Neodiprion lecontei: one gene and its partners. The protein of the gene in region 1 binds, or shares a complex with, the protein of each later gene. Links are inferred from orthologs where the notes say so. Each region holds a gene or a part of one and is shown on either strand. Other genes may lie near its edges. The genes, in order: transcription initiation factor TFIID subunit 5, TATA-box-binding protein and transcription initiation factor TFIID subunit 1.

What was found.
Region 2: transcription initiation factor TFIID subunit 5 (region 1) and TATA-box-binding protein share a complex: the UniProt entries of both Caenorhabditis elegans proteins name them as parts of the TFIID basal transcription factor complex. The link is inferred for Neodiprion lecontei from reciprocal best matches to the Caenorhabditis elegans genes taf-5 and tbp-1.
Region 3: transcription initiation factor TFIID subunit 5 (region 1) and transcription initiation factor TFIID subunit 1 share a complex: the UniProt entries of both Caenorhabditis elegans proteins name them as parts of the TFIID basal transcription factor complex. The link is inferred for Neodiprion lecontei from reciprocal best matches to the Caenorhabditis elegans genes taf-5 and taf-1.

The regions. Positions count from the first base shown.
Region 1 is NC_060261.1:43,189,602-43,196,695, reverse strand, and holds transcription initiation factor TFIID subunit 5, read right to left. Parts: upstream 4,896-7,094; 5' UTR 4,532-4,895; coding exon 4,469-4,531; intron 4,380-4,468; coding exon 4,194-4,379; intron 4,121-4,193; coding exon 3,918-4,120; intron 3,833-3,917; coding exon 3,636-3,832; intron 3,548-3,635; coding exon 3,343-3,547; intron 3,265-3,342; coding exon 3,145-3,264; intron 3,076-3,144; coding exon 2,930-3,075; intron 2,834-2,929; coding exon 2,696-2,833; intron 2,546-2,695; coding exon 2,352-2,545; intron 2,285-2,351; coding exon 1,778-2,284; 3' UTR 1,003-1,777; downstream 1-1,002. Other genes in the region: enolase, read left to right, coding at 1-140, 246-532, 651-972; peptidoglycan-recognition protein SC2, read left to right, coding at 5,815-5,932. UniProt on the Caenorhabditis elegans protein: The TFIID basal transcription factor complex plays a major role in the initiation of RNA polymerase II (Pol II)-dependent transcription.
Region 2 is NC_060261.1:14,535,039-14,539,980, forward strand, and holds TATA-box-binding protein, read right to left. Parts: upstream 3,123-4,942; 5' UTR 2,761-3,122; coding exon 2,503-2,760; intron 2,405-2,502; coding exon 2,274-2,404; intron 2,212-2,273; coding exon 1,968-2,211; intron 1,893-1,967; coding exon 1,694-1,892; intron 1,456-1,693; coding exon 1,379-1,455; 3' UTR 1,042-1,378; downstream 1-1,041. Other genes in the region: cilia- and flagella-associated protein 44, read left to right, coding at 1-8, 90-381, 483-633, 717-757; splicing factor 3B subunit 5, read left to right, coding at 4,683-4,940. UniProt on the Caenorhabditis elegans protein: The TFIID basal transcription factor complex plays a major role in the initiation of RNA polymerase II (Pol II)-dependent transcription.
Region 3 is NC_060261.1:1,233,860-1,239,398, forward strand, and holds the start of transcription initiation factor TFIID subunit 1, read right to left. Parts: upstream 3,535-5,539; 5' UTR 3,281-3,534; exon of another isoform or gene 3,158-3,280; 5' UTR 3,050-3,157; coding exon 2,285-3,049; intron 2,144-2,284; coding exon 597-2,143; intron 523-596; coding exon 260-522; intron 145-259; coding exon 1-144. UniProt on the Caenorhabditis elegans protein: The TFIID basal transcription factor complex plays a major role in the initiation of RNA polymerase II (Pol II)-dependent transcription.

The DNA of each region.
Region 1 (7,094 bases):
GTGAAGTTTATCATTACCTCAAGGCAGGCATCAAGAAGAAGTTTGGACTTGATGCTACCGCCGTTGGTGATGAGGGTGGATTTGCGCCCAACATTCTGGACAACAAGGAAGCTCTAAATCTTATCATCGATGCTATCAAGGTAATAAGAGTATTACTTAATATTACACGAGTGTAAGTTGTAATTATTAAATAATGCAAGTCCAATTTCACCTCACCTGAAATCAAACGCTCTGAATTCCTTCAGACTGCCGGATACGAAGGCAAGATCAAGATTGGCATGGATGTCGCCGCATCTGAATTCTTCAAAGATGGAAAGTATGATTTGGACTTCAAGAACCCAGCCTCAGATCCTAGCAAATTCCTAGAGCCACAGGCTCTGCAAAATCTGTACCTTGACTTCGTTAAAGAGTTCCCAATTGTCTCAATTGAGGATCCGTTTGACCAAGATGATTGGGCATCTTGGACCTCTATCACTGCTGCAACACCTATTCAGATCGTTGGAGACGATCTCACAGTGACTAATCCCATCCGGTGAGTTATCTCAAATATATCTTCGGCTTCTCAACATAAACTTTGTGTTTATTTCAATAAAATTCGTGACGAGTTTTTTTTTTTTTTGCTTATTCACTAATCAAATTTTTTTTCTTAGCATCCAGAAGGCTGTCGACTCCAAAGCCTGCAACTGTTTGCTGCTGAAGGTCAACCAAATTGGTAGTGTTACCGAATCTATCAATGCTCACAAGCTAGCGAAGAGCAACGGATGGGGAACCATGGTGTCTCATCGATCGGGAGAAACTGAGGACACCTTCATTGCTGATCTAGTAGTTGGTCTTTCTACCGGCCAGATTAAAACCGGAGCCCCATGCCGCTCGGAGCGTCTTGCAAAGTACAACCAGATTCTTCGTATTGAAGAGGAGCTTGGAGCTGCTGCGAAATATGCTGGAGAGAAATTCCGCAACCCCACCGCCTAAATTTAGCTCGCTAAATTTTTGAAAGAAGTACTATCACAATTTTATCGTACCGTTATTGAGAATGGTCTGCCTTTTCATGTGGAAATATGAACAGAACGATAATGCGTGGTTATAATTTGAAATCAGTTACCTAATCTCGCAAGGCAAGCATTCCCCTGTAATGTTAGATTCGATGAAAAATTATATTCCTGCTCTTAATGTACTAGTCTGCTGTGTATTATCGGCGAAAAATTTTCCTTTTCCATGGATCAGCATACGCTCATTACTCAGTTTTAACAAAATTCTCATTTTATCCATCCCATTACTGTAGATTCTTATTTAATAAATATATTAATGTAAATGTATTACAAAATATAATACCGTGTTATTCAGTGAGCTAAAGTATTTAGGGGCTAGAAGATGATTGGTCGATGAAGCTGATCTAACAATAATCGTTGTGAATTTACGTGAGTAATTATTTCGTGAAACTATAATGTAAAGTGATACTATACATTTTCGCAATTAACGAGTAAATAACGTTAATCATTTAAATTTGTTGTATTGTCTTCTTTCTCGCATCCTTTACACCTCTGATCCAAATTTTATACAACAGTTTTGTGAAGTATAACACATCTAACAAAATTATCAAAATATTGCTATTTTATAGAATTGTAAGAGGTTACAGCTTAAAAAATGAATATTAAGCTCGATCTGGATTGTTCATTTAGTATGAAACAATTTTAAACCTCACACTTAGGTTCAATGAACTCTTACTCATTCTGAAATTCACACTGACAATCGCGAGCACTGGAAGAACCGGACTGGTCTAAGATACTTCGAACATACCGACTGCTAGTAGAAGATTTCTTCGCGAAAAGTGGAGGGTGAGAACGGGTGAATTTTTTGTCGGAAAAGTTCGTAGGAGGTAGGTCTCGACGCATGTTTTGACGTCAGGATTATGCGAGACGTTAACGTCCTCCAAGCTCATTTCTTCAGCAAGTTTGGTAAAGTCCCAAAGCTTCAGTGTCGAATCGAGGGATCCTGACACTAAGATATTACCGTCTCTACTGAAGAACAAGCAATGTACTGTGGCTGTATGGCTGGATAAGGCTGCGACCAAATGTCCGTGCGCTAAATCCCAAATCAGGACTCTGTTATCGGCACCCGCAGTCGCCAGGAAGCGACCTTCCGCGGAAAATGCTAGGGAATATATCGGACCTTTGTGGCCGGTCATCAACCGCACCTGACCTCCAGTAACACAGTCCCACAGTCTGACTGTCCGGTCGCTGGATCCCGTAGCAACGTAATTTGAATTTGGATGGAATTGTACGACCTAAGGATGGAAAGGACAACAAGGAGTTAGATTCGCATTGTACGAAAATTAATTAAATGCAACTTACATCGACATCTGAGTAATGCCCGGAAAAAATTCGGAGAGGCTGATGAGCGTCAGTTGCCCAGAGTCTTGCAGTCTTGTCGTGGGAACCTGTCGCGAAATAGTAACCATGTGGTGAGAATCTCACTGACCAAACAGGGAACAGGTGACCCTTGTAGCAAACAACACAGGTCCACGTATGAAGAGACCATAGCCTTACTGGAACCGAGAAGAGAAATGTCAGGTTGAGCAAATTGTTGAGCAAACTAAGAAAAGATGATACTTTTTCGTAGAATATTTAAGACAATTATCACCAATATTTATACATTGATAAAAACTGAACCTTGATGTTCACTGTGTCATGCTCACCTGTGGTGTCCTCTGATGAAGATAGTAGTAAATTTCTGTCTGGGCTAAACGACAAACTATAAATAGGTCCGCTGTGTCCATATAGGGTTCTCGACGATTCAGCTGTCCTGTCGTCCATCATTCTCACAAGTACATCGTCTTAAGAGAATTATTCAGATTAAAGATAACAGCAAAAACATTAACTTAGAAAAGCCAGAGGCAGATTTTTTTGAAAGGAGAAAGAGTCGCGAGTACCAGCTTCGCGGTCGATGTCTTGTAATTGATCCCCACTTTTCATCAGTCTTAATTTTTGTGGAACCAGGCTCCATACTTTTACTGCGGAATCACTGAAGCCAATGGCCAGCAAACTGGAATCTTCTGCGACTTCTGCAGCAGTAACGCTGCAATTATATGAGCGAAAGTGTCATTGAATCATCGATATGATTTAAAATATTTAATATAAGTCGTACCTGTGTACTGAATTCAATAAAGTATAGAAGCATATTGACGGAAGACTGTCTGGCCCCAATACCACTCTCTTTGAAGCCTCTCTCAATGCTTTAACCTTCTCCAGTTTATCAGCATCTTTCCTAAATACGATCAATCTTTTTAAGCAGCGATACAAAGTCAAATCGATTAGAATCAACAAAGTGCAAAAATAAACTAACAAATTTGGTAGGGGCATTCTTCCGACCGGAGGTGCATTAGGGTCTGATTTAGTTTTCTTAGAAAAGAGTGGATCTTTTTTTGCTTTCTTTTTCTTTGGTTTATCTCCTCCCTCCCCACCGCCATCGTCTTCTTCTTCCTCAGCCGGCGGGACGCACTGAATATCTGGTTCCTTTAAAAGCCCATAATAGACTTTAGCCTTGTTATCTATGGAATTGAAAGGAATCCTTGAAGTTGAAGATCAGATATTTGAACAAATTTAAGACATAGACCATTGATTGCTTTCAAATTATACCTTGCCGCGTAGCTTCCCCCACAACAGCGCCTGACGTTGCTTCAATCTGTTGCTTGTTCCGAGCGACACCTTCGTACATATCAAAGTAAAGATGCTCTTGAATAATATTGAGCAAAATGCTATGTTTTTTCTCTTGAAGATGCCGCTTGAGTATGGAAAGCGTGTCTCGGGACATCCTTATAATAAACTGGTTAGACCTGTAAGAAAGTAATCGTCATTTTCTGTCACAAATTTACCTGTACAGCTTACTTTTCTTATCAACCCCATAGCTCTGATCCTCACTTGAAAGTATCCGTCAGCTCATTACCAGCAATCTGTTCCCGTTTTGTGACATTTGACAATCGCTTCAGATCCTCCTGGTAATATTCCTCCAAATTACCACTGAACTTCTCCAGCAGCTGTTTTGCTTCTCCTGAATGGTTGTTGTAAACAAGTTCCAGGTACATGTGAACCAATACCGGATACAATATTGTGCCAAGTTCATGCTACAGAAAGCGAAAGTAAATGTAAGATAAGGTCGGACAAAAATGCACAAAGAATTGATCGCTTATCGCAAACCTTGTAAATATCCAGAGCTCCTTCGACGAATTTCTTAAGTTCGGTATAGGCTTTCTCATACAGCGCTGGATCACCCTCGCTTTTGTAAGCTGATAGTACGCTGCTAACTTCAGAATCAGTTTGTTGACTATCCTCAGCTGAAACATCCGTCAAGTTTGCTTCCTTTCTAAATAACTCCTCGGTACCCTGGGGAGAAAGCCGAAGCGTATTTTAATCTGACGGTACAGTTTTGTTTACATGTCATATTTGCAATTTGAGGTTAAGTCAACGCTTACCTTTAAATTGTATTTCCGTAACAGCTGCAATACTGCAAGCATTGTGCTTTTCTCGTTGTCCATGGTTGCAGGTTTTTTTTCCCGTCTGCACCGCGTCTGTGATTTAAATTTTGATCCGAGGAATCGAAATCGTCAGACGCGAACGAGGATGCTAGCTATCCGGAGACACGATCAATTTCGCCGCCCCATTTGTCTAGCGCATGTGACACGCAACATGCTGACGATGCTGACCAGTCAGATATATGGTGACTCCGAAACATGCCCCTTGAATAAAATACACCCTCAACTTAGCTGCGTGTCTGGTTGCCGCTTCCATCATAAGCAGGCGTAGGAAACTGCCCGACTTGTAAAAGGACGTTTCCACGCCAGTCCGACATACAGTATCTAGATTTTGAATGTATGGAGTGGTAGTAGTAGGTCATCGTCTGCCAGGGATAGCAACATACCATTAACAATTTTTCATAGAGAATAGAAATAAATCCAATAAAATTACAATCAAACGGGAACAATTATAAGTAAATAATCAGAATTTATAAATGCACAAGTCTTACACGAATTACAACTTAGAATTACCTGTGCAAGAAAGCTCAGCAATATTATTCTGCCTTAGACTTTTTTACAATTGATGAGAATGTCACGTTCTAACATATTTTGTACATATGTTGTACAAATTTCTGAATTCACATAGCAAATGATGTATTGAAATTCTTATGCCTAACACATATTTGAGAAACAATTAATCCACGTAATGATCTACAGAAGTCATCTGTACATCTTTCTATTAATTTTTCGATATCGAGCCATGCTGGAGCATTTATATTCCGAAACTTGTATTATAGAAAAATTTTCAATTTATCAAGACGCGAAGCAGTTATCATGGAGTTCTTTATACATAGCGAGAATGAAAATAAAAATTCTAGATAAAGCGATGAAAACATAGCATGTATATTATTTCTGAACTTCGGAAAGTATGTCAGAGGCAGATCTCGTCAGATGAAAATAATACACAACTCAATGCTCGAAATCCTCGGATCATTCCCTACGAATAGTTTCCTAGGTGCAAGAATATTAAACTGCACAAAGAACATCGATTTTGATCGCAAGCCATCCTTATACCGTAATTGAGATTAATCGCTTATGGTAGAAGCACGTGAACTAAGCGGCGGTGGGGTGGGGCGGAGGGGGGGGGGGGGAGGAGGGGGAAAGATCTGAAAGAACCTACGATCAGATTGGGAGGGAATACCCGGCGTCCTTTAGTTTTTAGTTTAAAAGCGGCTGCGTGAGCGCATTGACCACCAGTTTTATCTATAATTCGGTCCGCGCACTTCTCTCAGTTTTCCCTCACCATGAGTCGGTTTGCTAATTACAAATCGATCATTGTGGTCTTGAGTACAATCGGCTCTCTGGCGATTGGAACTCCCATCAAACTTTCCGAAGAAGCAATTTCCACCACACCAAGTAAGGGTGAGATTATTTGGTTCCGACTTGTTTTTAGTATCCATCTTTGCGCTGAACGAAAATATATTGAACGCGGAAAATGAAATAGATAATGGTACAATTCGTCCGGCTAGAGTTACACAAATAGGAAATTCAACGCGTTTGGGAATTCCCCTGAAAATTAGATGCATTCGTCGTGCGCATCTCATGGCCGTACACGGAAGAAAATTTATTCAGCGTTAACTATTTTCCTTGTCATCTGATGCCTGAAAATTTCAATCAGTAGTTTCTAGTATGTTCCTGCATGGTCTCAATAGTTGGATGGTACAGTATTCTATTTTTATGCACTGCTATTAAAATATATTTCTAAAGCAAAACAAAAACATTAATCGCGTAGTATAGCACGAAGTCCCGCTGCACTTAACAACCTGATTCAAACGTTCCTCTTTATCAGTAATTCATTCCGATTACTCCATTGATAAGAATTTTCAACAGATTTAGGATAATTGATTGAATCGCGTTGTTTTTATGATCTCACCTGATTCACGCGAAAGGTTATCGTTAGAGGATTAATACTGGCACAAAAAAAATCCTTTGATTATCAGGCCTTATCCATGTTTGAAAATTGCGGTTTGATATCAGTAGCGTACTTCACGGCATCTTTTAAGAACAGTGCCTTGGCACGACTTTTTTATCTTCGACAATCGAGCAGAAGTTTTTGTAATTAACGCGATGCAGGTATGAAGATCGTTTACTGTAAACAGTGTTACTTTCAAGTTGTAGTGCGAAGTTTTTCTTCGAGATTTTGTGAAGTTTCTCGTATCGTAATCAATCGCGTCAAGTCAATGAAATTCACGATTAATAGTTTCAAACTCGTTTAGCAGGCATCAGGTGTAAGTTTAGAACGAGTCGATGAGTATTGTTGACCGGTAAAAATCCCGGACAGCGTAATTGAGGCGAGATACAACGTAATGCCACAAACAACACGATAATCAAATCACGTGCACCGCAAAAGGAAGTGTAAATGCAACGTTCCTATTCCCACATCATTATTACATTCAGCCGGACGAAAGAAAGACTCTGAATTTGTTATCGTGTTATCGTGGTAAGACTTGAGTATCGGTTATCAGGTTCGAAATATCGAAAGACAAACAATTGCGGTAATTATCGTACACTAGATTTATGAAAT
Region 2 (4,942 bases), about 29 Mb from region 1:
GTATTTCGGTTAGTTAATCACAATAGTCATTTATTCGAGGGACTTTTATAAATTAATAATTTTTCACCCACTTATGCATCAATTCAAAGATTGGACACTGAGACAAAGATAGTAAGGATAGACCAAGAAGAACCGCAGCGACTTGTAAAGAAATTGCTCGATGATATTGGAATAGACAAAGAAACTGGGATAGATATTACTATTCTTCAAGATTTGTTAGTTGAATTGTTGGCAGAAGAAGACGGAGTAACTGCTGCAACAAATCACCTCTTGAGCAATCTGCCAGACAATACTAGCGATGATGAGAAACAGGATATACGAGAACATGCAACCAAGGTGTTCACAGATATTTCTCAACTGATTATGCAATCCCAGGTATCGGTAAGATATTTAATTATTCGAATTCGAAATGCATCCTGTTTGATTGGATGACCAAAGCTGAAATTTAACGTCAATCATTATTTTCTTTGTTAATACCTAAGGCCGATGAACTTGAACACCCAGAACCAACAGTTGCAGTAAAACATGAAGAGAGCGAGCTTCTAGAACAAACTACAGAGCTATATATCGAAGAGACTCAACCTTCGCTGCCAACAGTAGAGTTAACTAGACAGGAATCTCAAGAAAAAAGAGGTAAATTTAATTCTGTTCTAAACAGCTCTCTATTACGGGTGATGTATGGTACATGAAATCTAATTTTTATTCCTACATCATAGAATCAACACAGAAGATATCAGAATCTGATTCGAAAGAATAATCATCTTGAAAGGAAAAAAAAAAAAGAAAATGTCGCAGCAATAAGAAAAAGGCTGGATAACTCTATGACTCAGACAACATTTACAGAAGAAACCGTTAGTTCTACTTCATAAACTCTCGCTACGCAGTGAAACAGTAAATACATGTCGTATTCACTGCTATGTATAACACATATTCTTTTCTCAAAAAACTGTGCTCATAGTTGATTCCTTTACAGTGTATTTGAATTTCACACATTTGTTAAATTTGATTTACTGGGAGGTTTGGAATAGTAGATTCGTAAAATACTTGGTACACTAACTTTATTTTTCATTACTTAACGGCAAAGCCCAGAATCAACAGCTTAATCTAAGAATTGTTCATAAAAGATAACGGCTTTGCGGCATAAGGCACCTGTCAGCCTGTAAGAATATATAAGTGCTCGCAAAAAACCGATAGTACTTCATGTCAATTGTCTTGTACAGTAACATTTTCAGTAGTTGCTATTTCAGTTATTCTTTTTTAACAAATAACGAACACTCGTCGTTCTGTACACCTCTGCAAATAGCAGCATTAATAAAAAGATTTTAGAAGACTATTCTTTCATCGGGGTATCAAAAATATCGTCAGATTCAGTTGGGAATCACTGCTTCTTAAAACTCTTCAGAATTGGATATATGTTATCGAAAGCTTCATAAATTTCTTGCCGTACTTTTGCACCTGTTGGTAACAAGAATATTATTATCGGTATGTATTACTACAATTACTGGACATGAAATAATTGGAAAGCACTGCTCATGTATTCACAATGATCAGCAAACTGTAATCTCTATTTGGGGACAAATGGTAACTTATTAGCAGGACAAATGTGAAGGATTTATCGGAAATATCAGAAATAATTTCATATCAAGCGAAAAGCTGTGAATATTTCATTGGATTTTCTTGATTAATTACTCACCAGTCAATACAACTTTGCCAGAAACAAATATAAGCAACACGATACGGGGTTTAACCATTCGATATATCAAGCCAGGGAATAGTTCTGGTTCATACGAAGAGAATTGGCCGTGCGTTAATACAAGTCCTTCTAATCTGATGGGGAATTTGACATCGCAGCTTCCAACCATATTTTGAATTTTGAAATCCAGAAATTTAGCCTAATAAAAATTTAATAAGTTTCGTACAGGAAACGGATCTCATCATATGAAATTTGACAACATACAAGTACTCACTGGAAATCCAAGCTTCTGTATGATACGTGCATATTTTCTTGCAGCCAGGCGAGAGTCCTCTTCACTTTTAGCGCCGGTACATACCATTTTTCCGCTGCTGAATATCAAGGCGGTAGTTCTGGGTTCTCTTATCCTCATTATAACTGCTGCAAATCGTTTCGGATTATACTCGGCGTTTCTAGCATGTAGCGCAATTTCCTTCAAGTTAAGCTTGCAGTTGAGATTCACCGTTGACACAATGTTCCTAAGGAATAATTAGGAATTTAACAAATAGTAACAGACATTCAGTAGCCAATGGGAACATACTGAAGCTGGGGTAGAATTCCAGGATCAGCGGAAGCAGGCGTCATTGGTGTCATCGGGCCTGGAGTTGACGGTCCGATTGAAGGGGGAGCTATTTGACTTGCTGGTTGAACCATAGGCGACATCATATTTTGCTATGAAAAAATAATAGCAAAACATCATCCTTAAGTGGTTAAGAACTTTTATAACATTAGTTGGTGAAAAAGCGAGTGAAATAATAGATAGTGTTTACCGGTGTTTGTGGCTGCATAAGACTTTGCGGCGTTGCGAATGCCGGAGCATAAGTGTGCATAGTTTTGTGCGGTGTACCCAACATTGGCATTCCGTGTACGTTTGAACCCATCGGATGCATTTGCTGTAGTTGATTTTGTTGGACTTGTTGTTGTTGTTGTAGCGCATTCGGCAATATTTGTTGATCCTCTTCAGGTTGATGTAACGGTGTGCCGATACTCGGGATGCTGAATCCCGGACTCGGGAGCATTTGATCCATCGTGGATGTTTATGTAAATTTCAATTTAATACAAATTTTATAATTTGCCACTATGTGCAATCTTGATAATCGAGTGAACTTGGTAACTAAGGCCAGTTAGCACATTACTTTGATGACCAAGTAATGTTGATTTGCGAAAGTGCAGTGTCGTTACCCTGTTATATTGATAATCTAATACTTCGCCGACACATTCATACAAAATCACATACTTAAATTTAATATCACAAATTCATTCTTCTAATATATGAGCTATTCCGAAGTTAGGGAGATCCTGTACTCATTTTTCAACAGACACCATTTTCGGTTAAGGTATCAACAATAATTCTGTACAAGAGGATGGGTTAGGTTAGCTCAGGATAGGTTAGATTGGCGGCGGGGGAGGGGGGGGGGGGGGAGGGGGGCACGGTGTAAGAATAAGAGGTGGTCCAACTGGCCCTCGGTTACTGTGATTATTTTGTCTTAGTACGACGGAAATCCGCCAGGGGCCTTATGCGTCTGTGAGGATGAGTAAGATAAGGGCCGTGTTCGAAAATTGACTGACAGTACTGTCAGCAATCTTTCATCTCTTTTGCGCTTCCCAGTTCGTGAATAGCTCTGACTCTGTCCTAGGGAATTTTGAGTACTGTTAGTCAATTTACGAACACGGCCAAGATCTTAACGTCACCAGCTAACCTACAGCGGTGGTGGACATTGTGAGAATGATGATCATTTTCCTTTTTTTTTCAGGTCGCAAATAGAGCCAAACACCAGCCCCCTGACACTCGCCACTGCTCGTATACTAAAAAATTGTATGCGTTTTGTCCCCGTTTTTTAGTTCCCCTACGTGGCGCTAGTAAACTTCTGACACCCTCGCTGCCTTCGTAGACCGCGCGCACGCTTTTCAGACAACTACTAGCGCCACTAGTGGTGGAGATTGGCGGCAGAATCGAGGGACATTTTGCGAACCACTTTTAGCAGCGTGTGTCAGGGAACTGACCAAACACCCAACACAAGACGGACAAAACTTGTCTTCAGTAATTGTACACATTAGGGTTATTTTCTGTACTACTAGCGTTGCTAGTGTAGTTTTTCTACCGAAGTGGCATTGGTTGCAGGTATGCCAAAGATCAATCCGGAGTGAGAGAGATAGGTTGAATGCGGTCAGCTTGACCACTATCTGTGCATCATCAGTTTTAAGCATAGACTTATAAAGATAGACTGAGCGGTCTTATGAGCCGCTTGAAGCAAACATTTAAAGGACAGAAATATGCCGGGAGACTCCCTTCTCTCTCTGACGATATTTGGGGCTGGGATCGAGGCGATAGAGGAGAATGAGGCGAAATTATGCGCCTATATCTACAGCTGTTCCACTTCCACTGCTCCGTTGTCTTCCACCATGACGCCAATTGAAAAGTGAGAGCAGTAGTCCTGATATATCTCTGTCCCTTATATGTGATTGTCAGTGCCTCTTCTAGGAGCGCTTAGTCTATCTTTATAAGTCTATGGTTTCAAGACGAAGCGTGATTTGTAACGTTCGACAATATCTGTCTAGTTTTGTGTCAAAACTGATAAAAATACGGACTCGGCATCTGGACCTGCATACATACATCAACAAAACTTTTGTGAAAACCAAGTAGTTAATCTTGTACATACATTAGAAAACTGATCTCGTTAATCATTTATAAGAGAGACCAAGAAGTGTACTAGAAACTTATCAAGAGCGTTGTCAAAAGTAAGTAGAAAAGTATATCAAGTGAAATTTTTCACTATTTTAGTAATTGTTAATATTGTGAAGTATAACTGACATTACATATTGCAAGAGTACATTCGGCCATACGACAGACGGTGATAAATGAATTTATGGAATATTGCGTCCCATTAATAGCGCTAACCTATAATTTCGAGGTTATGTATCACGCATTTTGTTATTGTTCAATTTAGGAATGGGGGAACGTTACAATATCCATAGTCAGCTGGAACATCTTCAATCCAAGTACATTGGGACAGGTCATGCAGACACAACGAAATTTGAATGGTTGGTTAATCAGCACAGAGATTCATGTAGCTCTTACATGGGGCATTACGACCTTCTAAATTTTTTTGCGCTAGCTGAAAACGAAGCCAAGGCACGCGTCAGATTTAATCTGATGGAGAAAATGCTGCAGCCTTGTGGCCCACCTCCAGAAAAACCAGAAGATTAATC
Region 3 (5,539 bases), about 42 Mb from region 1:
CATACCCAGCATCTTTAAGTCTCTGTTCGGCTGCGATCATACTAAAATAGGCGCAACACTGCTCCGGAGAAACCATAGCTCTGATTTCTTCCTCAGTCGGCAGTCTGAAGTCTGGCTTGATTACCCACCAATTTGAGTCCATTCCTAGTTTAAAAAACGAAGGTAACAAATCACAAATTTTTTAATAATACTATTCTTTGCAGAATTTGATAGAAATATGTAAGGAAATTTTACGAGGCTGATACAGAGTGAAATGTACCTGTTCTTTTAAAATCAGCGCAAAGCTTCAGTCTCTTTCTTATACTGCTTTCACTATGCGATGGGAATGCTTTTTTAATATCATCCATTTTGATTCGCCTAGGAGTGTCACGAGATTTCCAGAATAATCTATATATGAAAACTTGCAAGAAATCTCTTACAAAGTTGTTTGCTCGTTTGGAATTTGGACCAGGAACTTCATACAACGGACACTCTTGTCCAGCAATAAATAAGGCATCTATTTCCCTCACGAAATATTGCTGTCTGAAAAATGGGCAATGTTTAGACCAGTGATTAGAGTGATTCTATTTCTACAACAACCTTTGAAGCAGCTGTACCTTGTCCTTATTATCAAGAAATCAGTCTCTGGACCATTGTGTTCATAAATCGGGGCCCTGTACATGTTATTTTCAATAGCCTGAATACTTTGGCCAGGTGTTAAGATGCCCAAAAATGGGCTGGTGTGCGCATAAGCGACCTCTCCATATTTGTAACGCATAGGCCCTTGATCCTTTCCAGCTCTTCGTTTGTAGTAATTCTTGACTTTGGAGCACATTCCAACTTGATTCATCAGAGGTGGATGTTCCTCAGAAAACTCAATGAGAACAATTTCCCCATCTCTTCCAGTCAAATCTTCAGGTGTCCTCATGAAGAAGACATCTCCACCTCCCGAGGCAATTCTCTCCTGTTCTCTTTGCTTAGCTTTCTTCTTGATGTGCTTGAGGAGAGGCAACACGTGGTGGGGACCAGTGTGAGACAGAGGTCCGTGACTGTACCTCTTTAACGGAGGTCTATGGAAATTCCTCAGTCTCATAGGTCCCATGTGTGTCTGTACGAAAGGTGCTCGCAATTCTACGACCGGTGTGCTATGCTGTATTAAATTGCCACCGCCAACTTTTAATCGTAATGTTGTTTCCGAAGAGCGAGGCATGTAGTAAGAGTCATTTGATATGTTGAATGGATCTCTATCGGGAGACTTTGGAGGTGGAGGCGGAGCATCCTCTTCAAGAACGTTGATAACTCCTGCTTTACCCAGCAAAAGTTTGCTTTTTTTCACATGAGGGTGTGGGATTTTTACCTTAGGTTGAGGCCCATTGTCTTTATGAAGAAGAGCTGGGTCTATGTCATCCGGTATTCCCAATACAATGTTTTCATCGTTTGGATCTAGGGTGAGAATCTTTGGTTTCGGTATTTTCGTCATGTGCTCAGCATCCCAGATAACTTCCTCTTCCCAGAGTCCGTAAACTAACTCCTCATTCTCCACAGGGAAAATAGAGTACCAAGTATCGTCATAGTTTTCTTCACGCTGTTGCTGCTGGCTGCCTTTACCCATCGATGCAAGTTTACTCTTAGACTGCATGTGCAGAGGAGTCGCTATTTGCGATGTAGCAAGTCGAACGTTAGGTGCTACAGGAACAGGAGTTCCTTTTCCTGGCTGGCTGAAGGCCTGAGCAGTTCTGTTACTGCTCGAAGGTACCCAACCAGCAGCATTATTCTTGCTATTTAATTTTTGCATCACTTTATGTTTTATATCATCACCATTCCACACGACATCATCCTCCCAATGCAGTTGAGACACCATAAGAAAGGAATCGTCTGGAAATGTATCCTCATCTTTTGACTTGCAGACTTCTTCAGTTTTCTCCGCAAGTTTGAACCCATAATTAAAGCCGTCACCAGTCTCTGGGACTTCCAACATGTCATACCAAATTTGGGCTGGACCGAAGCGCCAGTCTGCAACTTTTGGACCCATGTCATTGCTGTCTCCCATGTCGCCAGTTTTACCAGTTTGTTCCTTGTCTTCGACGGGAAGCAATAACTTTTCTTCATCATCTGGGATACATTCATCTGGCGATGGAGTCGGTGCGTAATGCATTTTCCACCCCTGTTGGAAGATTGACTTAAATTCTCAAATTTGTGATATTTCTCACAGCTTTTAAAACATTTTCTAATGTCAAAATTGCTTAGTAGAAGAGTACCTAACTACATTTTCAGCTAATTAAAAGCTTTTCAATATTTATTGTACCTTGAACTTAGGTTTCCTCTCGTCGTGATCAGATCCCGAGTCTGAATCCTTCGGATCGTGGTGTTTCTTCTTTTTCCGCCGTTTTCGAACACCCCGCCAAATTTGCGGAAGGCTGCTAGGTTTGCCAGGGCCAAAAAGTCGCGAGAACCTAAGGACCTTATTGGGGCGAAAATCAGGAAACAATTCCGTAACGTTGATATTTGCATATTTGGAAGGCAGCATGGAAGCCAAGGGCGTTTCAAGCTTACGCTGGCGAGCAGCTTCTGCCTCTTCAGGGGTCAGAGCTTCTTTTTCATCTGGAATGGGCGGAGGAGGCATTAACTGAGTGTCAGATTTATTGACTCCCTCCTCATCATCTGCATCGTAGTCACTGGCTGCCCTATCCTGTTTCTTGGAGGACGCTTCTGCATCATCTTCGTTTATGTCTTCAGCTAATTCGTTAATATCAGAGAAATCCAACGCTGTTGGAGATTTTTCTAGATAGTTGACATCGTCAGACTCGGATTTGACACGTGTTTTATTTTCATCTTCATTTTCTCCTTTCTCATTTTCTTTTTCATTCTGTTCCTCATTGTCTAGAGCAATCATTTCCTGCAGTAAACTGCTAAGGCCGAGGCGACCCAGGGAAGCCAAATGGCGCTTCGCCTCGGAATCTAATATATCATCCTCCAACTGACCATCTTCATCAATGTTGCCAAATAAAAATCCAGTCATATTCATTTCCAGATCCATGTCTCTGTCGTTTTCCTCGTCTGAGTCAACCATTTTCAGCAGATACAAATGAGTGTGTTTTTGAGAAACGGTGGCTTTGAATCAGTAAAGATTAACTATTTTGAGGTTAGATGGTTGGCTTTACAAGCGGGGATTACTATCCTGTATTGATACATTAATTTAGTTTTTTAGTTTTTAATCGTATTTTACGAATATTAATTTCGCACCTATAACGTCTTGTCAATGTGTACGTAATAAATTGAACTTGGGAAATCAAAAGCTCACCCCTTGTTTAGCAACATTACTCGCAATCATATCCCGTTTTTAAAGCGTTGTCTAGTTTACGCTAGTTTTTTTAGAGTGTTGGCGCCATCTGATGCAAAACAGATTCTTAGAACTAATTTTCATTTGCAGACGCATGCTGATAAGCCACTGTGATAAGCGAAATAGATTTACCATCGCAGTAGGGTAAATGCAGTGAATAATAAACTATGATGATGAGGCTGGATTTTCACGGGCGTGAAGTTGACGCAAAAACACCATGCCGTTGGTGGCAAAAGGTCGCGAGCACGGTCTTATAAACAGGTTTGGGCACTCCAATTCCCTTCCTATATAACGCAGCGTGACCGACTTGAAGCCTGTGTTTCTCAATTTGTGCACCAAAGACCGGAGCGCTGCAATCTCCGAGGCAGGTGTATGCGTATTAAGTAGGCCTCTCCCTCACTAGCGCTAGCGGCAAAAATTCACAACATCGGCTTCATTTTCGAGCACGGTTTTACAGCCGGAGTACACAGACCGATCATAAAGACCGTGGTCGCTAGTGAAAATAGATACGACGAAACGGTGAAATGCCACGAGTTTTGAACTAGGTAGTTGAGACAGTGGTTCTCAGTTGCGTTTTTATCCCAAGGATTTAAAAATCTAGAATTTTTGATTGGCAGTGGAAAAAACGGAATAAATGGGGGAACGAAAAGGAAATCACATAAAATGTAGCGATTTTTCAAGGTGAGAAAAAAATCTAATTGATTCTCATGCTTCCACAACCATGAATTCGTGCATGATTGAGACGCCGCCTATTCATACGCTTATTACCGCATAGCCCATACTGAAAATGATGGAGGGTGTCCAGGGCGTTTCATCAAAACAATGAATAATAATATGAAATGGCAACAATACTTGACTCGCTTAAATGCATTACATGCATTACCATTCTACAATAAATAGAGTAATTGGAATATTATCTTATACCTCGAATAGCTATTATACTCATACAGCTGATAAACAAACTCTATAGAATACGCTGCGAGCTACGGTACATATCGATAGTTGCAGCCGAAGAACGTTCCACGCTCTTCTGAGTGCGTTTTCTGCATTCCAGGGGTCCAATTAGTCAAGAAATGGTCACACAAAATGGTTCTGAGACGAAAGATTTTTCGCTGAAAAATAAAGTATAAAGGCTATATCTTTGCATTTTTGGCGAAAATTATCGCGATTTTGAAAAGTGCTGGAATAAATTCTTTCATGCACTATTCCGACGTAATTTTGCGAGAGAAACCGATTGGGCGCAGTCCCGATACGCTGCGAGCAACAGATCAAAAGTTAGAGCCGAAAAACGAGAACCTGTGTTTTCGACATTTTTCAGCAGGTGCTTTCTCCTTCGTAATTTCTCTCCTGTTGATCCCACGCTCTTTTCGCTGCATTTTCTGAGTTCCTGGCGGTCCAATTAGGCAGGAAATGGTCGTACAAATCGAATCTGAGACCAAAAATTTTCGGCTCCAAAAATGAAGAAAAAGTAAGGCTAACCCCTTTGCATTTTTGGCGAAAATCTTCGCGATTTTGAAAAGTGCTGGAATAAATTCTTTCGTGCACTATTCCGACGTAATTTTGCGAGAGAAATCGACTGGGCGCAGTCCCGATACGCTGCGAGCAACAGATCAAAAGTTACAGCCAAAAAACCAGAACCTGTGTTTTCGACGTTTTTCAGCGGGTGCTTTTTCCTTCGGAATTTCTCTCCTGTTGATCCCACGGTCTTTTCGCTGCAGTTTCTGAGTTCCTGGCGGTCCAATTAGGCAGGAAATGGTCGTACAAATCGAATCTGAGACCAAAAATTTTCGGCTCCAAAAATGAAGAAAAAGTAAGGCTAACCCCTTTGCATTTTTGGCGAAAATCTTCGCGATTTTGAAAAGTGCTGGAATAAATTCTTTCGTGCACTATTCCGACGTAATTTTGCGAGAGAAATCGACTGGGCGCAGTCCCGATACGCTGCGAGCAACAGATCAAAAGTTACAGCCAAAAAACCAGAACCTGTGTTTTCGACGTTTTTCAGCGGGTGCTTTTTCCTTCGGAATTTCTCTCCTGTTGATCCCACGGTCTTTTCGCTGCAGTTTCTGAGTTCCTGGCGGTCCAATTAGGCAGGAAATGGTCGTACAAATCGAATCTGAGACCAAAAATTTTCGGCTCCAAAAATGAAGAAAAAGTAAGGCTAACCCCTTTGCATTTTTGGCGAAAATCTTCGCGATTTTGAAAAGTGCTGGAATAAATTCT